2 linked regions of the Lytechinus pictus genome follow. The protein of the gene in region 1 interacts with the protein of each later gene in a pairwise test. Links are inferred from orthologs where the notes say so. Each region holds a gene or a part of one and is shown in the gene's direction. Other genes may lie near its edges.

Evidence for each region.
Region 2: the proteins of histone-lysine N-methyltransferase EZH2-like (region 1) and histone deacetylase complex subunit SAP18-like interact in binary tests that used the Drosophila melanogaster proteins (3 or more experiments, as listed by UniProt). The link is inferred for Lytechinus pictus from reciprocal best matches to the Drosophila melanogaster genes E(z) and Bin1.

The regions. Positions count from the first base shown.
Region 1 is NC_087245.1:20,675,864-20,686,933, forward strand, and holds the start of histone-lysine N-methyltransferase EZH2-like, read left to right. Parts: upstream 1-6,698; 5' UTR 6,699-6,792; intron 6,793-9,675; 5' UTR 9,676-9,695; coding exon 9,696-9,863; intron 9,864-11,031; coding exon 11,032-11,070. UniProt on the Drosophila melanogaster protein: Polycomb group (PcG) protein. Catalytic subunit of the Esc/E(z) complex, which methylates 'Lys-9' and 'Lys-27' of histone H3, leading to transcriptional repression of the affected target gene.
Region 2 is NC_087248.1:29,152,186-29,162,545, reverse strand, and holds the start of histone deacetylase complex subunit SAP18-like, read left to right. Parts: upstream 1-5,854; coding exon 5,855-5,899; intron 5,900-6,766; coding exon 6,767-6,873; intron 6,874-9,257; coding exon 9,258-9,588; 3' UTR 9,589-10,360. UniProt on the Drosophila melanogaster protein: Involved in the tethering of the SIN3 complex to core histone proteins. Interacts with bicoid (bcd) to repress transcription of bicoid target genes in the anterior tip of the embryo; a process known as retraction.

The DNA.
Region 1 (11,070 bases):
GAAGCAATAATTCTGCAGATTTGATGAAGGGATTAATGTTCATACCATGTCTAATTATTTTACGGGGTGCGCAGTTTGCTCACTTCCTTCACTTCAGTGCTACGCCGCGGCGCGCCGGCGATGTAGTATATTTATCATTGAAGAACTATCGGAAACAAGCAATATTAAATCCAATATACACAGATGCAGAAATAAGATCACAATGGATTTAGAATGTTCCACCCCTCTTTTGTTGATCTTATGAGACAAAAAAAAAACAAGCTATCATGATTCTAAGATGATGATCCAAACTTCCAAAGTAATTACGTGCACCTTCTTGCTCATACTCAGTGAGCTTAAGTGGACTTAAAATATAAGGGGAAAATCGGCTTTGATGAAAAATAAATCGCTTGAGCGCTTGCCCGCACTGTCATTCTTTTTGTTAATTCATTGTTGGCCTTGATTGAAAACCATTGATCACTTTTTTTGAAACAATGATTATGAAAAGATCACAAAATGATGAGTATATCACTGGAGACAATGTAACTAAGGCTTATTTAGCAAAATTTCCCTTTTGTTTCCATTATGATAAATGCCCCGATATCAAACTACATAAATTCCGATTGGCTATCTATCGAGTTTGTACTGATGAGAGGATAGGCAGTGATTGGTGAGAGATTTGGGGTAGGATAGAGGGAGAGAGAGGGAGACAGAAAGAGAGAGAGGGGGGTACAGAAGGGTGAAAGAGAGTTAGGAGAGAAGGGGAAAGATGGTAAAAGGGACAGATGTTTAAAGGAAAAGAGAAGAAGTGAAGCAAAATGACCGACGATGGAAAAAGGCAAAATCGAAAGATCAGAGAGGGAGAGAGAGAGGGGGGGGGGGGGGTTCAAAGAGAGAGTGAGAGATAGAAGGAACAAGACAGTGATGAGTGATGGGCCACGCAACGCCCTCTTGAAATTTTTTTGATTTAGCAAAGCAAACAATAATAGCCTAATGGCGAAGAAAAAGATTAATGATTAACCAATAAAATTGTTCAAAAAAATGTATACCACGGAGTGCTTTTGCAAGGAAGATCAAGACTGCTACCAGTGTAGAGAAAGCATGACAGTGAAACACGAATCGTGATTTCCTTTTTTGGCTTTAATCCCTAAAGCATTTACTGTATTCATGTAATCTAACTTCGGTAAAGAAAACATCAATCAAGTGACAGCGAAATTGTTTTTTATCCAATATATTAAAAAAGTAACATTTCACATGCAAGCTGCTTGCATGGGACTAACAACAAACAAATGACATTTATATTTAAAAAAAAAAATTCAAAACAAAAGTGATTAATAAACAAGTTAAGAATATGACATTAAGCAAAATCTCAGATCTTGAAATGTATGATTCATGACCATTTTATGCACTCGTATTTCTACGGTGTCAAATTTGTCTCAGAATGGTGCAGATGAGAGTCAAACATACACTCTTAAAAATGTTGGGCAACATACGGTCCACACAACAATTGGTTAAAACTTTATCCAATTCTGGGTAGTTTTACACCAATAATGTGTGCTTTGGGTGAAAACTACACAGTATTGGTGTAAAACTACCCAGAATTGGATAAAGTTTTAACCAATTGTTGTGTGGACCGTATGTTGCCCAACATTTTTAAGAGTGTAACGTGTATCGGATTATTGAATTTGGCTGGGACTGGCATGGCATCAGTTGAAAAATCATTTGATTCCTAGTCAAATTAAAAACTAGTCGCTTTGACTAGGAATTGACTCCCAGCTGGCGCCGTTCTGAGTCAAATTTGACACCGCAAGAAATAAGAGGAATATCTTTTTGTAATGTTATTAGATTGTGTCCTACTTTATCCGCTTTCAAGATGATTCCCACTCTCTCTTATGTAGGCCTGTACAGTGCGTCCCGCAAAAAAGGAAACACGTTTTCAGAGATAGATTTCACAATTATTAAATATGCTTTTACTATAAATTTGATACTCATGGCAAGATTGGAATCTCATCTCTAATTTGAAATCAACAGTTTAGCAAATCGCTCACGCATGAGAGATAATAAACAATACAAATATTGAGACATTTCATAAACGATTTGCGCAGAAACTCACACGTGAATCTGAATCCACTCTCATTAATTTTCAGGAATCAGTGAGAGGATCTTAACAAAAAATACAAAGAAATGAACTCGTCTTGCTCATTAATGCGTGAAGTGTTTGTCTCATGTTAGGTATCAAAATAAAGAGGAATAAATGAATCATAATTATGATTGTGTAACTAAATATCATAATTCGTTTGTATTTGAAGAATAAAGACATGGGAATCAGGGTTTCCTTTTTTGGGGGGACGCACTTAATAAAAAGGTGTTTTTTCTTTCTTTTCTTTATTTTTAACACGTTTTTCAGCAAAACTTAAACATTATTTTCTGACTTAAGACCTCATTACCCCATGGCTTCAAAATAAATCCCCCATTGGACGAGGACCTTGAATAAAGCTACTTCGGGATATTTTTTTATAAATAGGGGGTACTCCTCCTCCACCCATCCCCTCTCTGTCTCCCACTCTCTCTCTTTCTTATCTCACCAATTTTCGCTCTAGCACAAAACAAATAATTGCATGCCTGATTACTCCCCTCTACCTGAAAGCAAAGATCGTTTTCTATTCTTTGTTGTTGAATATAGGGAACCCATTAAGCTAAGTTAAATTAATATATTAAAGGGATACTCCGGGCTTTAGATATTTATATCTAAATAAACAGAGTAAAATTCATAGATCAATATGTCACGTTGTTATTATTTGTAATGATCTTAACCCTTTGATATTTTATAGTTTTAGACATACATTTATAACTGATTGTCATTGTTCCACTCGATTTTTATTAATTAATTCATTAATATCATTTCAGTGTTTTTTATCAGTGAATAAATTATACAATTAGTAGTTTTATAATTAGTAACTGTTCCCTTTGGATAACTTAGATATTTCAGTTTGATTCATATTATCATCTAAGTACCTATGTTTCCAAGCATTGTTATCTTTGACTTAGATTTTGACTTTATTTTCATGTATGATATGATGATTTATGTTGTTTATGTTTTCATCAGGTCATCGATGAAAAACAGTTTTATGCTGATCTTTTGTACCTGAATAAATATGTTCTAATAAATAAATAAATAAAAAGATGCTGAAATTTTATCAAAATCGGATAACAAATAACTGACGAAGTTATTCAAATTTAAAGATTTGCAATATTTTTGAAAACAGTTATGCATGTATTCATGAATATTCATTAGATGGGCTGATGATGTCACATCTCCACTTTCCTTTTTCTTATATGTTATTACATGAAATCATCTTTGTTTCATTTTCCATGCATGTGTAAATGGTGTGTCTCTATTATAATGAATTAAAGGAGAATGAAACCCTTGAAACCAGCAGAATCCATATCAAAGAGAAAAATCAAAGAAACATATTGTTGAAAGTTTGAGGAAGATTGAATGAATAATAAGAAAGTTATGAGCATTTGAATATTGAGATCACTAATGCCATGTAGTTCCTCCCATTGGCAATGCGACCAAGATCTGTGATGTCACACACGTACAACTCCCTCATTACTTTAGTACTTATTTCACTTATATTCTCACTTTTATAGAGTCTATCACAAGGTGAGGTGTTCTCCTTATGAGAGGACAAGTACAGAGGTTTCACAACATTATATCATTGATGAATCGTTTGTCATATGATTAGAATGAGCAAAAAGTGATGTTTTGGGGTATATTTTCACTGTCCAAAAGGGGAGAGTTGTTCATCTGTGACATCATAGATCTTGGTCGCATTGCCAATAGGAGGATCTCCATAGCATTAGTGATCTCGACATTCAAATGCTCATTACTCTTCTATTGCTAGTCCAATTTTACTCAAACTTTTGTTTATCTTATTCTTTGATTTTTCTGCTTTCACAAAAGCTTACTTGCTCCAAGAGTTTCGTTCTCCTTTAAGTTGCAGCTATAAATAACTAAAACACTTAATCAGTTGTCAATCGAATTGTTTTATTCTTGGTATACATTTTTTGAATAAACCTAATTTCATATAATGAAATACAAAAGAACAAGTGAGGATATGACATCATCAGTTAATTGCTCATTGAATACTCATGAAGACATGAATAAAAAAGTTTCACCGGAATAATGCAAATCTTTAAAATTCAATAACCTTGTTATCCGATTTTGATCAGCATTTTGCTTTGTGAATTTACTCTATTTATTGAGATATGAATATCTTCAGCATGGAGTATCCCTACTACTTCTTTGGCAAATAAAACCATTGCTAGTTTTGTGCAATTTAAAAAAAACATGGAATTCAGACATTGCGAGGAAAATCACCAAATTCATAGAGATGAAGGCTACATCTGGCAAATGCACTAGTGCGAGGTTAATTAGTATACTAACCTCGCACCATGCAAGAACCGCATTTGGCAGTGGATTTCATACTAGCGGGTCGCACGCGCGTGCTGCGACGCCAGTGCTTCCACTCTTGATGGAATCCAGGAAATCCCAGGAAGTTTTGCTATTTTTCAGGATTATTCCAGGAAGTGAGAAATTCCAGGAAGTTTTCCAGGAAGTTATCATTTTCGGGAATGATGTTATTTTCTGAATATTTTGTCAAAATCTATCACAAAATTTGATATTTTAAATTAAAATGTAAATGTTTGCTGCTCGCAACTCTTTATAAACTTTGCCCGTTACCTCATGTTTCGCCCCTCAAAGGTTTTGGCTCAATTAAGGCACTGGGCCCTATATTTCATTGTGTGTGTATAGAAGAGAATGGAAGACTGCAGACTATTCGGAAAATTCCAGGATATTTTGTAAAATTCCAGGAAGTTCCGTTTTGAAAAGTGGAAGCACTGAACAACGCCCTGGCGTCCATAACACACGACTTTTAGGCCCGAATTCTCAAAGGGTGGCTAACTTAGCCCGGGCTAACTTAGCCCGGTGCATGGGCTAACTAATCCCCTGTGGGCTAAGTTAGTCCACTGAGCATTTCATAAAGCGTGGGCTAATTAGCCCACCTGGCTAAGTTAGCCGGGTGTGCTAAATATTTAGCACACCCAGCTAACAGCCAATTAGCCCGGTGGGCTAAATCATGAACTGAAGCTACTGCTAGCATGCTCAGTGCAGCCTTGTTGATGCATGTATGTACTACAGTGTGCAGTATACCAGGTCCATGGCAGCTAGTACTCACATAGCAGCAAAATGGAGGGGGAAAGATGTGCCAACTGGCCCCGCAACTAGCAATACTCCGAGATTATACCTCCTCGAACTCATTCATGACAATGCTGCGATATTCTGTAATAAATGTACAGATATTCATACTTTAGGAAATTGGCAAAGCCGATCTCCTAATATAAATATAAAAGTTAGGTCCTACCTTAATTCTTGCTCGCCAGAAGATAGAATGTGGTCCAGCCGCTCAGAATCTCAGATAAATTGCACAAATCCGTGAATAGAAATATATACACTTCACAATTTCAAATACAGTAGATAAAGGGACAGATGTCACAAAATGTCTCGCGAAGTAATGAGCTCATTAAATATGCAGAGAATATAGACTTCGAATGAGTGGAAGTGACGGTAAGGAATAAGATTGGAAAATGCAGAGAAATAATTAAGTATAAGTTGATCCTCCACAAGATTTGATTCGATCCTCACTAGCAGCTGGATGAGATGGTCAGCATGAGTGGACAGGACGAAGGCAGAGAGTAGAGTGATGATGTGGTAGAGAAAACAAGTTGTTTTTACCAACATCAGAAAAGATGAGACAAAGAAATAAGCGCCAAAAAGGGAGGCAAAACAAAGTTGAAAAGAACAAAGAAGAGAGAAGCAGACTGTGAGAAAAGCAAACATGCAAGCATCTCTGTAGTGATGTTGGTTATACCTGCAAGTTCATTGCAATAAACAAGGAACAATGAAAGGATGTTTGCTCCAAGTCTAGGAACAAAAGAAAGGTTGTTTCTCAATATAAGAATGTGTTTGCCAAGTAGATTTGGACAGAAAATGAGTTGGCTTGCTCTGTGAATGTACAGTATTGTAGTACATACACATGGCGTGAACAAGTGAGAATATATGAAATTGGAAATAAAAGAAAGAATTTATATACATATACAGAATGTTGAAATATAAATGAAAATATATACAAGGAAAGAATATATAGATGTAGATATATAAAAAGATATAGTCAAGTCACTACAATACCATAGAAAAATGAAGAGGAGCAGCATGGGAGGCAGTTAATTAGAGCCAGTTTTTAACAGAAGTTTGGCCAAAAGTACACTCTGCCACAATTTCCGGCACCGTAAAAGGAGAAATTAAAAAAGATGCGTGTCACCGCCAAAAAGGAGTATATTGTGAGTGGAGGAGGAACACCCGGAGGAACACCCCAAAAATGGGGGTGGGCCTCCTCCACATCTGAGCGAATCCACAAAAATGATTCAGGAATCAGAAGATTGTGCCTACAGACTTCATACAAATAGTTAACCCATATGATGACGATTACGGATTCTACAATCAAGCAATAAGTGCTTTGGATTTCTTGGCAAGAGGAAGCTTGATTGGCATGTAATGAACCATTGGGTGGGCAAATACATCCTCCAGACATGCACAGTAGGCCTACAGTCCAAGCCCACCTCCTCCATGTCCATTGCATTGTGCTCTAGCGCCATCTCTTGTTGATTGCTTGCAGCAGCATCCGAGATCCCGCGTTGATCTGATTCTGAGTTTTCTTTTGTGGAAATTCAATCTATACTTGACGTTTGGTGAGTAGAGGATACATGTAGGTCTAGATATTGAGTTCTCATGAACCTTGCGTGGTCAGGTTATATAGATTCTGTATTATTTGCTCTGCAATAATCTTGATAATTATAAGAAGCGCTACATATTCACAATTCAGATTTTAATATTTCAGTCCCACTGCTATGTTTTTGTGTTGTGTGTGCTCCGACCTTAGCGGAGGAAGAACACAAGAGAGAGAGAGAGAGAGCTGCTGTCTTGAATTCATCAGTTCATTCACCTGCATCTGAGTCTGGAATTTCAAACCTTGAGAGACTTGAGTTGCAGTAAAAGCAGAGTAAAATGATGAGCTTACTATATTAGTGACTGTTTGCAGCGCGACTTCGTTAAAAAAAGCGAGCGCACGCGTGTAAGTACATAATTAATGGCACGCATTTCCAATTTAAATTAATCAGCCGAGATGCCCGATATTTGGGAAAGTGCCATATTTGGAAGGGTGCTGGGTGTCAAATTTCCCACCGTGGGGAAACCATGCGGCAGCCATTGCAGATTTTTTTTCCCGATAGATTGAACATGTGCGATATCGGCGGCCACTCCTAGTACCAGTGAGGTCCAAACATTAACATGTATGGACCTCATAGGCGACAATGCTTTAAAAACAGGTTAGAAGTCCTGCACCCAAGTATTTTTATGATATTAGTGATTATTACTCGAAAAATGCAAGCTTTGTCCTCATTTGTTTAGCATTTATTAAAAAATTACCCATTAACTATAATCCTACTCATACTTTAAATGTTATAAAATAAAGGGAAACTTACATTTAGGTCCTTTTTCGATCTTTTCTTGGCAGTCAGTCCGGTCCCGTCGAGTGCGATCAAAGCGGTACGAAGCTGATTTTCAGATCACGTGATACGAGTAGTCATCTTCTTCTTCTTCTTCTTCTTTCCTTGGTTGGCAACCAGTTAACCAAGGAAAGAAGAAGAAGAAGAAGAAGATGACTACTGATCACCTGATCGATCGACTATCCTTTTTTAAAGACCGCAACAATTATAAATTTTATTATAAAATATATATAGAATAAATAATTGCATGATATTATATATATTTCTACAATTAAAAATATTTTGTGATATGAATTTAATATTTGACGTAAAAATCGCTATTTAGCAAAATATTTATTAAAAAATAAAAACGCCTTGGACACAGTGCAAAAAACCTAACAATTTGGCCGCGTTCTTAACAACTATTGTAAGGGGCGCTCTATTTATAAATAAAAAAGAATGTACAGCTGTCTACCGCAACGTGGTTTGTCGCAAGATTTGGGACAAATCCGTGGGAATTCTTGAGAAAATACATCAAAAGAACTGGTGAGTACCGATTAAACATTATCAAAGTAGTAAATAGGTTATACATAACTTGTAGATATATATTTTAAATTGATATTGATGCTTAGTTCCAAGCTAGGGCGGCCCAAATGTGCGTGAGTGGAGTCCCAGTTTATTAACACGGGTAAGTATTGGGGTGTCGCCTAGAGTGATCGGCGGCAACATTTCCTGCGAAAATCACTGCCCCCTTTTGAGATTTTTTTTTTGGTCATCGATCTTAAGTTAAGGAGTCCAAAATTAGTGAGGGTCATAAGAATCTTTGAAAGTCAAAATCGTGGATTTTAGTTTTTACCCCTGGATGTAACCCTAGGAATAAATTTTTTGAGCAGTAACCTGGGTCTCGTGTGTGCAGTTTAATAGATCAGAGGGTAAGTTCATGTATCACATGCACGCAATAAATCCCTTCGAAAATGTACATGTACTTGTAGATTATTATTGCTGATGATAGCACTACTTTGAAAGTCATTTATAGCAACAGCAAATTGAAGAAAAAATAGAAAAATTATATGAGCCTTGAACGAAACCAGCAGTACAAGCCTTTGTTCATTTGAACAAATGGTATACCAAAGTCTGTACAATGAAAAGACTGGACACTTTGCGTAACGCTTTGCATCGATTTGCATGTAAAATAGTTTAAGTGCCTAGTCTTTCCCTCGTAGTGTCTTCGATATGAATATCGCCCACTCTCTTTATGCGAAAAATTCCTATACCCAAAGTGAAATCGGGCCCCCGTAAATATCATTAAAAGAATATTTTATATTTAGCACTCAAAACTAAAGAGGAGGAAAAAGGGACACAATATCCCTCAGTAAGTTCAGAAAGGTGAGGTAATGAGTAGACTCTAGTAAAATGTAAGTTGTCCATTCGAAGCATAAAACAGTAAACAGCCGATCATACACAAAAGTGCATTGACTTGGCTGCGTTCTCAAAGCCTCTTTGTACATTGAGATCTATGTTGAGGCACCATCACCCCATCTTATTTTGATAACAATTATCACCCCCACTTTCCAAATGAAATGATTGCCAGCAAATTTTTATATAGACTTCATTTTGATACAGATTATTTCTAACTTGCCTCAGCAGCTTGAGACATTGATTTCTAAGCAGGGGCATCTCGAACCGTTGCCCAATTAAATGGGGGCTAATATTTAGACCATATGGACAAGTGTGCAAGTCGGACTGGGCTAAACTCCATATTCTTTTGCAGGATATTTTAACCAGACATGGCAAAATTTCAGGCAAATAATAAGGATTAATACCAGGTGCCACGAGACACCCTTCAAGATTGCAATTGATTTCTAGAACTGTTGTGGTCAGGCAGTGACAGTCGAGTGTTGCAGCACTAAATGATTGCCGATGGCAAATTAACGCATTTGCTCATTAGTTGGTTCAAAAATATTTTGTTAATGTCAGTGGCAAATTTGAAGATAAAATCCTACACCGCATACCATTTCCTGTAAAACTATTTGTACTTTTCAAAATTTTCTTTCATTTCAATTCATGTGTCTTCATTTTTGGTGACAGGTCATAGGTCAAATGTCATCATGGCATCAAACGCTACAAGGTCAGCAACCTCCAGCCCGGCCAAGAGTGAACGGAGTGCAAGTGAAAAGAGTGAAAAGAACACCTTCACAGATCTGAAGTCAATAGTGAAGTCCGAGTACATGAGCTTGGTGACTAACAGACGTTTCAAGAGAGCTGGAGAAATTAGGGTAAGACTTGGAGATTTTCTTATCATATTCTTACAGCTAGCCATGAGAGAATGAATACTACCGTGTGAAATAGACAAATATGAATACTTATTTAGATTTAATCCCAACTTTGAGTTTAATAAGATTATTTACCATTGCTCTCCAGGCTCATAAGTGACAAAGTAAATTATTTTCTAGAAACCAATTAGGGCCACGTCATGCCTGAATTTCTTCTTTCTGGATTCTGACAGCATACAGTATTATATTCAGATCTCTGCATGTTTCCAGTACATCCTGTAATAAAGTCATAGGTAATTTAGTGGACTTTGATATTCTTATCAATTTTGACTTGATAGATTTAGCCTACATCTTGTATAACAGTAATGATAAGGGTTACAAACTCTACAAGATGGAGCCTATTCTGGCTAAAATGTGTACCCTTTTTTCAAGGCAATAAATGAAACTATGTTAAATGTTTAACCCTCTATACTCTCGCAAATTCGGATGAACCAAATTGAGATATGAAAATAGAGGGTGATTCACTAATCGTTAAAAAAAAATATAAGAAGCTTTAGACCAATAAAGTCTCATGAAAATTGATTTTACACTGTACCTCTCTTACAATCGATTTTTAATTCTCAGGGAATCATCTCACTGGAATTAATTATGCTCAAATTTATTATATTCTATCAAAATTTACCGCTTTTAGTATAAGTCGCTGATCCAGACCAGTCCCGTGGCTACTTCACAAAATTATGATTTTATGAATGGCTAAAATAGCCTGCGCCAGGCTTGGGCTATTTGGGTGCTGCTTTTATTAGCACCAGCACCACGTGCCCGAGTTTGTTAATGGGTGATTGTAAAAGTAGTGTGACTCTGCTACAGTTACCAAGCACAATTTATATTGAATGGTGCAGACTATTTTTTAGCACGGGCCTGGTGCGGACCAAAAAAATCATGAGTCACTGAAAACGGTATTAGATAGTTTCCTCTTGGCCTTGACGTACTGTAGTTTACACACCTTGCAATCGTTCATTGGGATGTCTTTTACAGTGATTATGTTTATCATTATGTGAAATCAATGGTACAGTCATTTGCTCTGTTTAGTGTTGAATGTTGATACATGCTCTTGTCTGATGACCGCTGGGACACTTGAAAATGTGTCTTCAATGTCTTGTCTTCTTTACAGATGATTTGGTCGGCCAATCGTAAATGTATAGAAGAGAGA
Region 2 (10,360 bases), on another chromosome or scaffold:
CAGATCTACGCCGATTTTTTCCTTCAAGGGGCATGATCGAAGATCGGCAAGTGATTGCCGATTGTGGTGAAATCGAATGGAATCGGTTGCCGATTGCAAAATCGGTTACAAGCTTATATTGAACTAGCCTTTTTGTCCAGAACTTGCTCAACTTTTGCGGCAAATTTTGTCGCCATAGGGTTGTGCACATTCTCGTTTAATACTGGTTGTCACGTGACACGGCAATGTCGTTAGGCTGTTTGGCCTGTATTCAAGGCGTTCTATCCGTTATGATTTTATATTGAATGAAGCTAATTCCATCAGGTATAGGCCCCTATCAAGTCAAAATCGATACAGGGATCGAGAGGGGGGGGGGTGGAGCCAAAAATTCCCCAGTCACATGGTATGAAAATGATATTTTTTATGATTGTCCACGATCATTAGGGCAAACCCGTGTGTGGCAGTACGGTAGCGTGATGAGTAAAAAAAAAATAAAATAAAAGAAAGAAAGAGGGCCAATGTAGGCATACATGGCGCGTGGGAATAAAGTTGCTTTATATGTTCCAAGCGAGTGAAGTAAGCGAGAAAAAAACTTTTCGTGCAAATCTAAATTTGAGATAGATATCTTAACTTACACTTTTCCTTTTCTTTTCATTAATTCCCTTCATTTCTTTTTTATCTTGGTTGTAGAACTTTCGGGGGCCCCTAGGCCTAACCCTTCCATCGTGTACCCCCAGTGCAATATCAGCAGGTGGGTCTCGATAACTCTGGATATTTAGCAATTAGACCTATTTATAGAAAAACATAACGTTAATGTTTTGACCCCTTCCCCCCCAAAAAAGGAAAAACAATTATAAACTAAGTTATATACATCCCCCTTTTCTCATTTCGCTTTTTATTTTCTCTATTCCCTCCTTATTTTTTTGGGGGGGAGGGACCTTTTCGGGGGGCACCGCCCCTAGCTACGCGCCTACCAGATGAAGAGGCGAGCGAGCAAAACCTTTGTCACTTATATTACAAATATCAATTTTGCAATAGATTTTGACATAACATTCGGAATTATTCTCGCATGCATTTTTCTTTCCTTCTGCTTTTTTATGGCCTTTTATTTCTCTTCCCTTTCTCTTTCTGTCTTTCTTTCTTTCTTTCTTTTCCTTCCTTCATTCCTTTTCTCTTATCGCGTTTTTTTTTTGGTGAAATCCACTGGACCGGGGATCAAGGGCCAGCCTGCATGCCCCCGGCGGTTTACGCCTCTGACGTGGATGTAAGCTATATATACGCATGATCTTAATCTTCATTATGATTCAAACTATATAGAGGCGGATCCAAGATTTTCCAAATTAAGTAGGGGGGGGGGCGGGGTGAATTTTCTCAAGTAAAATTTGACAACTCCCAAAAAAGGTTCTTACTAAAAAAAAAAAAACGGTCATTATATTGTCTCGCGTAAAGTTTGACAAGTTAAAAAAAAAATGGTCACTCAAAATGAAAGTCATTTTGTCCGCGTAATATTCGGCAAGCCCCCCCCCCCCACAAAAATAAGAAAAGGGAAAGTCATTTTGTCCACGTGATATTTGGCAACCCCCCAAAAAAAATAAAATAAAAAAAGGTTTTAACTATAGCAATGATCGAAGGTCATTTTGTCTCGCGTAAAATTTGACAATTTTTTAATAAAGTTGTCACTAAAAAAAAAGGTCACTTTTTCCACCGTTATATTTGGCAAGCCCCCACCCCCATAAAAAGTTTGTCCCTAAAAGTGATGTATAGAAAGTCATATTGTTAATTTGTTCCCAGTAAAATTTGACAAGCAAAAAAAAGGCAAAAAAGAGAAAAGAATATGAACGAAATATCCCCATTACAAATAATGCTGTGATTCTCATAAGGGAGGGGGGGGGGCACATAACTAGTATTAACAAAATATTTAATTCCAAAATGTTTACTATAAATCTCAAAAGGGGGAACGGGCAGAAATGCTCACCCCAACCCCCCCCCCCCCCGCCACTGATTCCAATCAATAATGACTTTTCTCTGCAATACTGATGCTTTGAAATCAAGATACTGAAGATTGATACGCTTAACATAAATTATGAACGTCTGACAAAAAGATAACCAACCGATCACCTGACCGATCAGCTGACCAGTACGCGTATCACTTCGGAGATGATCACTCGTCGCAGCTGTGTGGAACGCTCACCCAAAATCAACAAAAAGGGCCTGAAATGTAAGTTTAACAATAATCGATTTTAATTTCAACTATTTTTACAACTAAATAAAGGTTAGCCGTCCGAATGAAAGGTATATCGGATAACTCTAACTTGTATTAAGGTGTACATTTACCAAAGTCTTGGGGTGGAAATCAGAACAGCATTGTCCAACCCATAATTTGGGTAATGTCGCCTATGAGGTCCATACATGTTAATGTTTGGACCTCATTGGTACTAGGAGTGCAAGCTATATTCCTTTCTCTTATTTAAATTATAATTTTATAGTGTAAATGCATCGTTAGCAACAACAAAAAAATGAAAGAAATGAAGGGGAACTTACATTTTCATGGCTTTTTCCTGATTTTCTGGGCAGTTGCTCTTCACTTCTGACTCGCGATCGAAGCTGATATGAAGATCACGTGATTCGCGTTCTCGTCAGCTGATCGGTTGGTTATTCTTTTCGTCAGACGTTAATAATATATATTTTATAATGCTAGCATTCATCGCTAATTTAGGTGAAAGAGATTGAAGTTAAACAGCGCCAGGTCGGAATCATAATTATTTTGGAAGAGTGTATTTATACACTCGATCTCATACCTGACGTAGACGGCGCTATTCAACAAATGCACAATCTTCAATATAAAAAATAAAACAGAAAGAACGCCTTGAACACATGCCAAAATGCAATGATTTCTCCGCGGCATTAACAACTATCGTAAAGGGCGCTCCATTTATTAATAAAGATGGATGTATAGCTGTCTATGGCGACAAAATTTGCCGCAAATATTTACGAAGAATTGTGAGAAATGGTCTGAAAATGCAACAAAAGAACCGGTGAGTACCGATTAAACATCAATTTATTTAATAGAACATATTTCATGACTAGAGTTTAACAATTTCTAGATAACATTGCTTAGTTCTAAGCTAGGGCGGCCCAAATGCGCGTGAGTGGAGTCCCAGTTTATTAGCACGGGTAAGTATTGGGGTGTCGCCTAGAGTGCATATTACTGCGTTCTAAAACAAATTCGTACCGTAAGACTTCCGCAATTCAATTTCACAGAGCAATACATAGAACAAGATTGCAAAAACAAGGCGAAAAATCCAACTTTTACCTAATTATCTCTAAAAATGACAGAAAATGCTTAAAATATCATATAACATAGTTTTGTATTAACAATTGATATATTTTCTAACGGAAATATGGGCCTGATTTGCCGAATTTCAATCTCGTCCACTCCTTCGATCGAATGATGAGGTGTGGTGTATTGTGGGTGATCGTCGACGGCTAGTTCTCAAGGTACCCGTGCGCGAGGTTTACCGTGAGTAGAGCCGTCGATCGGCAGCGCATCGATAGAACTTGATGAGCGTCACATTATGAACGCGAGCATATTATTATTGGAAAGTGCCATGGAACATGCAGCTAACAAGAAAAAATAAAATAAGTTATCAAACACGAATTTATTACCAACATCTGCTCAGATTCGATATAAAAAAAAAGCAAATAATACTTAGAATTTGCTCATGATATGATATAAGAAGAAAAAAATCACAAAAATTTGTTCTTACATCATTATAATCAAGGATATCTTTACCCGTCCGGCGCGCGTCCGGAATCATGATGTAATTTGTCGCGCACGAAAATAATTGTTTTTCGTGGAGGGGTATGCGGCAAGTGCGATGCAAAGAAAATGGTTGGTAAATATAAAATAATTTTATCATATTCATAATTTTCATAATATTTGGAATAGCAAGTGTGAATTTTTCTTGATTGTATTTCCTCTAGTTGTCATTTTTAAAGCACTGAAATAAAGGTGTCCGGCAATAGGATACACTGCCATATGTGTAGTGTATGATGGGGTGTCCAAACTTCGCTTCGCTTCGCGGACCTTTCAAACATATTCTTCAGGCTTAAATTTGTTCACAAAATATTCACAATTTATGCAAAACCAATTTAATAAATAATAATTACCACATTGACGGCAAGATCGTAAACTATAAAATCATTGACAAAAATGTGAAATAGGTCAAACTCAAACTAAAAAGGACAAGGCCAGGCGGTTTCGCCGGTATTGCGATCTCAAAATTCTATTCCGATCGACGAATGCGCGCTGTGCTGGAAAACCGTTCTGAAAAAGTATGACCTAACTTCGCGGACCAAAGTTTTTGAGGAGATTTAAAAAAACTCAAGCTCAAAAGGAGAGATATTTATATATCAGATTGACGACAAAATGCTAAGTAATTAGTCAGTACCACATTGAACTCACATTTTTGATGATATCTGCTTGCAAAATGATGATATTGTGATGCTTGTTGAGGATATCAGATTTCTTCGGAACTGGGCGTTAACGGTGACAAATTTGCTGATCTTTTGTCAATATTTTCATGAATACTGACCTCATCCTGAAGGAACTTACACCAAAAGGTAATTTTTTTAGGTCGCTTTTCACGTTGATGATGTCAGATTTTAAAGGAGAATGAAACTCTTGGAGCAAGTTAGCTTTTGTGAAAGCAGAAAAATCAAAGAATAAGATCAACAAAAGTTTGAGTAAAATAGGACTAGCAATAGAAGAGTTATGAGCATTTGAATGTCGAGATCACTAATGCTATGGAGATCCTCCCATTGGCAATTAAATGCGACCAAGATCTATGATGTCACAGATGAACAACTCTCCCCTTTTGGACACTGAAAATATACCCCAAAACATCTATTTTTGCTCATTCTAATCATATGACAAACGATTCATCAATGATATAATGTTGTGAAACCTCTGTACTTGTCCTCTCATAAAGAGAACACCTCACCTTGTGATAGACTCTATAAAAGTGAGAATATAAGTGAAATAAGTACTAAAGTAATGAGGGAGTTGTACGTGTGTGACATCACAGATCTTGGTCGCATTGCCAATAGGAGGATCTACATGGCATTAGTGATCTCATTATTCAAATGCTCATAACTTTCTTACTATTCATTCAATCTTCCTCAAACTTTCAACAATATGTTTCTTTGATTTTTCTCTTTGATATGGATTCAGCTTGTTTCAAGGGTTTCATTCTCCTTAAAGGATATTGGCTATTTTTTTAGATAATGACCGTCCGCGAAGTTTGGACTCATTGCCATACTCGACTCCTACTTCCTAACGAGTAACGTTAACGTTAGACTAGTCTCAAACACGGGTTGGTCGTTGACGTTGGATGAGTGCGCTGCATTGGGCTTCCGCTTGGGGTGTTGTTTCGCATTAATTGCGATTGATCGGCGCTAAAGCAGTTTCGCACTGCCACTGGCCGAATTTCAGGGAATTTTTTTCAGCATGTTTCCGATTCCCCAAATAAAAAGGGCACAAATAATAATCGGTTGCAGCTACCTCAAGTGAGGTTCGTGCAGGCTCCACTCCACTTCACTACCGCTACACTACGCTCCATCTACCTGAACCTCAATGTGGTGAACTCGCTCTGATACTTTGAGTGACAAAGGTGGGAGAAAATGCATGTTTATTTGTAAAAATCCTACACCGAAATGAGCTTAAAAATAATAAGAAGCTAAATTTCTTACTTTTCATCCTAATTTCACTCCATATCCATCCTCCTGTTAGCCGCAAAATTGGTTATTTAGAGCCAGCATCGAGTTCCTCACTCTTATAAATAATTCGCTGCTGATTTGAAAACATCGCATCCGCATGCGTGAGGGTCTGAGTTGCGACTTGACCTTTGAGAGCCAAGTTGTATGATGAATAGTATCAGAAAATATAGCATTTGTCCCCAAGAACAAGAGAAAATAAGCCAAACATTGCCAACTTTATTTCACCACACAGAGAGTACTAACAGAGAACAAGGATATCATTGTGAATCACTTTGAGTAGTCGTAGATTGATAAAGCGCTGTATAGAGTCTAAAAGCTTTATTATAACTATTATCATAAACTTGATCATTGAATGAGTGAGGCCCATCGTGATCAGGAATGGCTGTATTATTTTCAGCTCGATCTTGACAGGCAAATGGATCTACCGGTACTGTGAGTGACTGAGGGTGATGTGAGAAAATGAAAGGGTCAGGCTCTTGGGGATAATGAATCACAGTAATGAATTATTTTGATACATTTCAAAAGTTCATAAAGTTTTGATAAATCATGTAAATTTGATAATTGTATTGCTGAACATCTGAAGTCGGAGGTTAGACTGGCTTTGGATTCAGTCTATGCTCACTTGCGTAATGAGCTACTTGTATACTCAGGGATTTAGCTATGGTGCAACTCAAATGACAGCATCATCGGTCAATAGCTTCAAGACGAAGCTAGACAAGTTTTGGTCTTCGTTGCATTATGTCCACCCATGGGAACAGTGACCTTTTTCACTGCATGTTACAGCACACAGACTCAGAATGAGAAATTTAATACCCTAGATAGGAAGACAACATACAAGATTGACCTGGAAACTTGTCTGCAGAAACAACTGTATTTTTCCAGTAGATCCGGTGTAAAGGTATAAAATACGTCATTGCCTCATTGGATAAATAAACATTCCATACACCCGTTAAAGTAATAGCCTCACTCTTCATTCTTGGTGTATTCTTTTATCTCCTCCTTTTCCTAGACCTGTCCACTTCTTCTGAGGGTGTTCTGTAATAACAATCGTCACCATCAGGAACACGAGTTTTCTCGAGGAACAGTCCCAGCCAACGAACTCCAGATCTACACATGGTAAGTTGGTTGTAGAGGTTTGGTGGTCGAGTGGTCTCTGAAGCACCTTAAAAGTGCGTGGTACCTACATGTATATGCCTTTGATCAAGGCATTTTATAATCAACAATGCTGCTTTATGGTCTGTAAAAAATAAATGGAAATAGAAAAGTAGCATAAAAGGAACATGCTGAAGCTTTTCGACATGCGGTCATCCGAGTAAAACCTGCCCGTTAAGCCAAACATCAAAATTAAACAACTAAATAAACCCTAATCCTTATATTTACATCATTCTGAACCAAAAACTCAATCCAAACTCTAACCCATGCCCCTTGAGATATTAAATCCGGAGCAAATGTCGCAACAGCAAATGTGTCACCAATATATCCCCAATGAATGTCAAACATTTTTGAGTTGTGTTCTCCTACCACCTTTTTCGTTGCGACTATTACAGAATGTTTTTCCTGGTATCATGCTTAGTTTGATTGGGGTAATGGGAATTGTTGTCCTGTGCTTTTGCACCGGAATCATGTGCACAAAAGTTTGTCCGCGTACCATTTATACTTATTTTTATTGTCTGAGGAGTACTTTTGCCAAGATTTGCCTTTTACTGTTTTTTGTCTCACCTGCATAGCAGAGTGAGACTATAGGCGCCGCTTTTCCGACGGCGACGGCGGCGGCGTCAACACCAAATCTTAACCTGAGGTTAAGTTTTTGAAATGACAGCATAACTTAGAAAGTATATGGACCTAGTTCATGAAACTTGGCCATAAGGTTAATCAAGTATTACTGAACATCCTGCCTGAGTTTCATGTCACATGACCAAGGTCAAAGGTCATTTAGGGTCAATGAACTTAGACCATGTTGGGGGAATCAACATCAAAATCTTAACCTAAGGTTAAGTTTTTGAAATGTCATCATAACTTAGAAAATATATGGACCTAGTTCATGAAACTTATACATAAGGTTAATCAAGTATCACTGAACATCCTGCTTGAGTTTCACATCACATGACCAAGGTCAAAGGTCATTTAGGGTCAATGAACTTTGGCCAAATTGGGGGTATCTGTTGAATTACCATCATAACTTTTAAAGTTTATGGATCTGATTCATGAAACTTGGACATAATAGTAATCAAGTATTACTGAACATCCTGTGCAAGTTTCAGGTCACATGATCAAGGTCAAAGGTCATTTAGGGTCAATGAACTTTGGCCAAATTGGGGTATTTGTTGAATTACAGCCATAAATTTGAAAGTGTGTTGGTCTAGTTCATAAAACTTGGACATAATAGTAATCAAGTATCACTGAACATCCTGTGCGAGTTTCAGGTCACATGATCAAGGTCAAAGGTCATGTAAGGTCAAAGAACTTTGGCCACGTTGGGGGTATTTGTTGAATTGCCATCATATCTCTATAAGGGTGCGTTTATCCGCCACTTTTTCACCCTAGAATCATGATCTGAATCATGATTCAAATCATGATTCTGCAGAATCACGATTGCGTTTAGTCGAAATTGAATATAATCATGATTAGAATCACAAACATGAAACACGAAAAAAGGGGCGTTTGGAAAGACGTTTCTGCAGAATCACGTACGAAAATGTTCGAATAAACGATATCGTGATTTGAATCATGATTATATGACCTCACTGTGTCGTCGGGCTACGGCTTTCGGTTTGACTCTTGCCAAGCTTATGCTCATAGTATGTACATGATTACTCTGCATGCATTTCTTGTCATGTTCAAGTTCTGTGTTGGTCTTCGCATCGTCCACTACTTTTCATTTTTTGGTCATGTCTTCAACTTCAAGTTCTAGTAAATTAATTAACTGGAGACAATGATGAGTATAGAGTGTCAATATTAAATTGGATCTACGCTGAAATTCACTTCCGAACACCATTTTGGATTAACTAACAAGATGAATAGAAGCATATGGACCCTATATGATAGAAGTAAACAAAATTAGGTTGAATTCTGGAAGCAAAAGATTTTTTCGAGAGCCGAAACACGTGCGAAAAACTTCCTCTGTCAAACTGCGCACTAGTGATGCGCACTGGATTGGCCCGAATCTGAGGAGAAACAGCATTGGAATGACGGTCGTCTAAACGCTGATTCTGTGATATCGTGATTCATGTTTGTGTTTTGAATCATGATTCAAATCATGATTCAAATCATGATTCTGGCTTGAGGTCGCATAAACGCAGCCTAAGTGTATTGGTCTAGTTCATAAAACGTGGAAATAAGAGTAACCAAGTATCACTGAACATCTTGTGCGAGTTATAGTAGTTTTCAAAATCAGCACTGCTGCTATATTGAATCGCGTGATGCAGGTGAGACGGCCAGAGGCATTCCACTTGTTTTTCTTGTATCCCACTTACACTATATGATCCTTTTTTTTTTCATAGGATGGATGCCACTTTGAAAGAGCTATCTAGCCTAGTGAAGGAAGTCAACCCCGATGCACGGCGGAGGGGGACGTACTTTGACTTCGCCATCGTCCACCCGCACCAGAGGCGCCAACAAGCCTACCAGATGAGGGAGATCGGGATGACCTGCTCAGGACGCAAGGGACCCGATGATTCCGTGACCCTGTCGGCGCAGAATTTCGTCATCGGCGATTATATCGATATCGCCATCACCTTGCCTCCGAGGGGCGGGCTCGGAGAACGGGGAGGAGGAGGGGGGATGGGAGGCGGCGGGATGGGGATGGGAAGAAGAGGAGGTTGGGGGCGGTGATAGAAGTAAGGCTACATGTTCTAGGTAGTAAGTCAGAATGAGATTGATTCACAGGGGGGGGGGGTGAATTTGAGATGGTGTGGGGGAAGAGTTTGAAAAAATTGTGGGGGGGGGGAGGTCTTCAACCCTGGATAGACTTGGAAACTGAAGGATGCATGGTACAGTATATTTTCAAGAACTGGCAAACGTCACATATGAACCACCTAATTCAAAGTAAGCTATTGAAGATTTATACAATTTTGCCTACCAATAGATCTTTTTCCTTTCTATCCCTGATGAAATGTCCATATTGATTGAATCAATATGAAGACTTGGAGACTTGGCGTCACATTAGTAGGCTGTCTGACATAAAATCACAAGTTAGATCACAGTTTAAGTCAAACCAGAAAACGGGCTATCTGTTTGTACACAGGTTTCATGGTATGCTGATGCACAGCTTGGGAAATTATCAGTAGAACATACCATTTGGGACCTTAGTAGGAAAGTGGTCTAATAATTATATCCAAACTGTACAGCATGATGTAAGTGGACCACAATTTTTGGAACCCATCCATGTTATATGTAACATATCTTTTTTGCAAAAGCCTTCTGGTTATTAAGGGCAACTTGGAAAAAAATAAGCTATGTCATGTTGCTCTATTTTAGATTGTATGTTACATTGAAAAAAACATTATTAATACATAATAAATGGTTATATTATTAAATTTCAATGTAGAAATTTGCTTTCAGGGCCCCGGTCTTACAATAAGTTGTGATTGATTCAGTCAGTCAA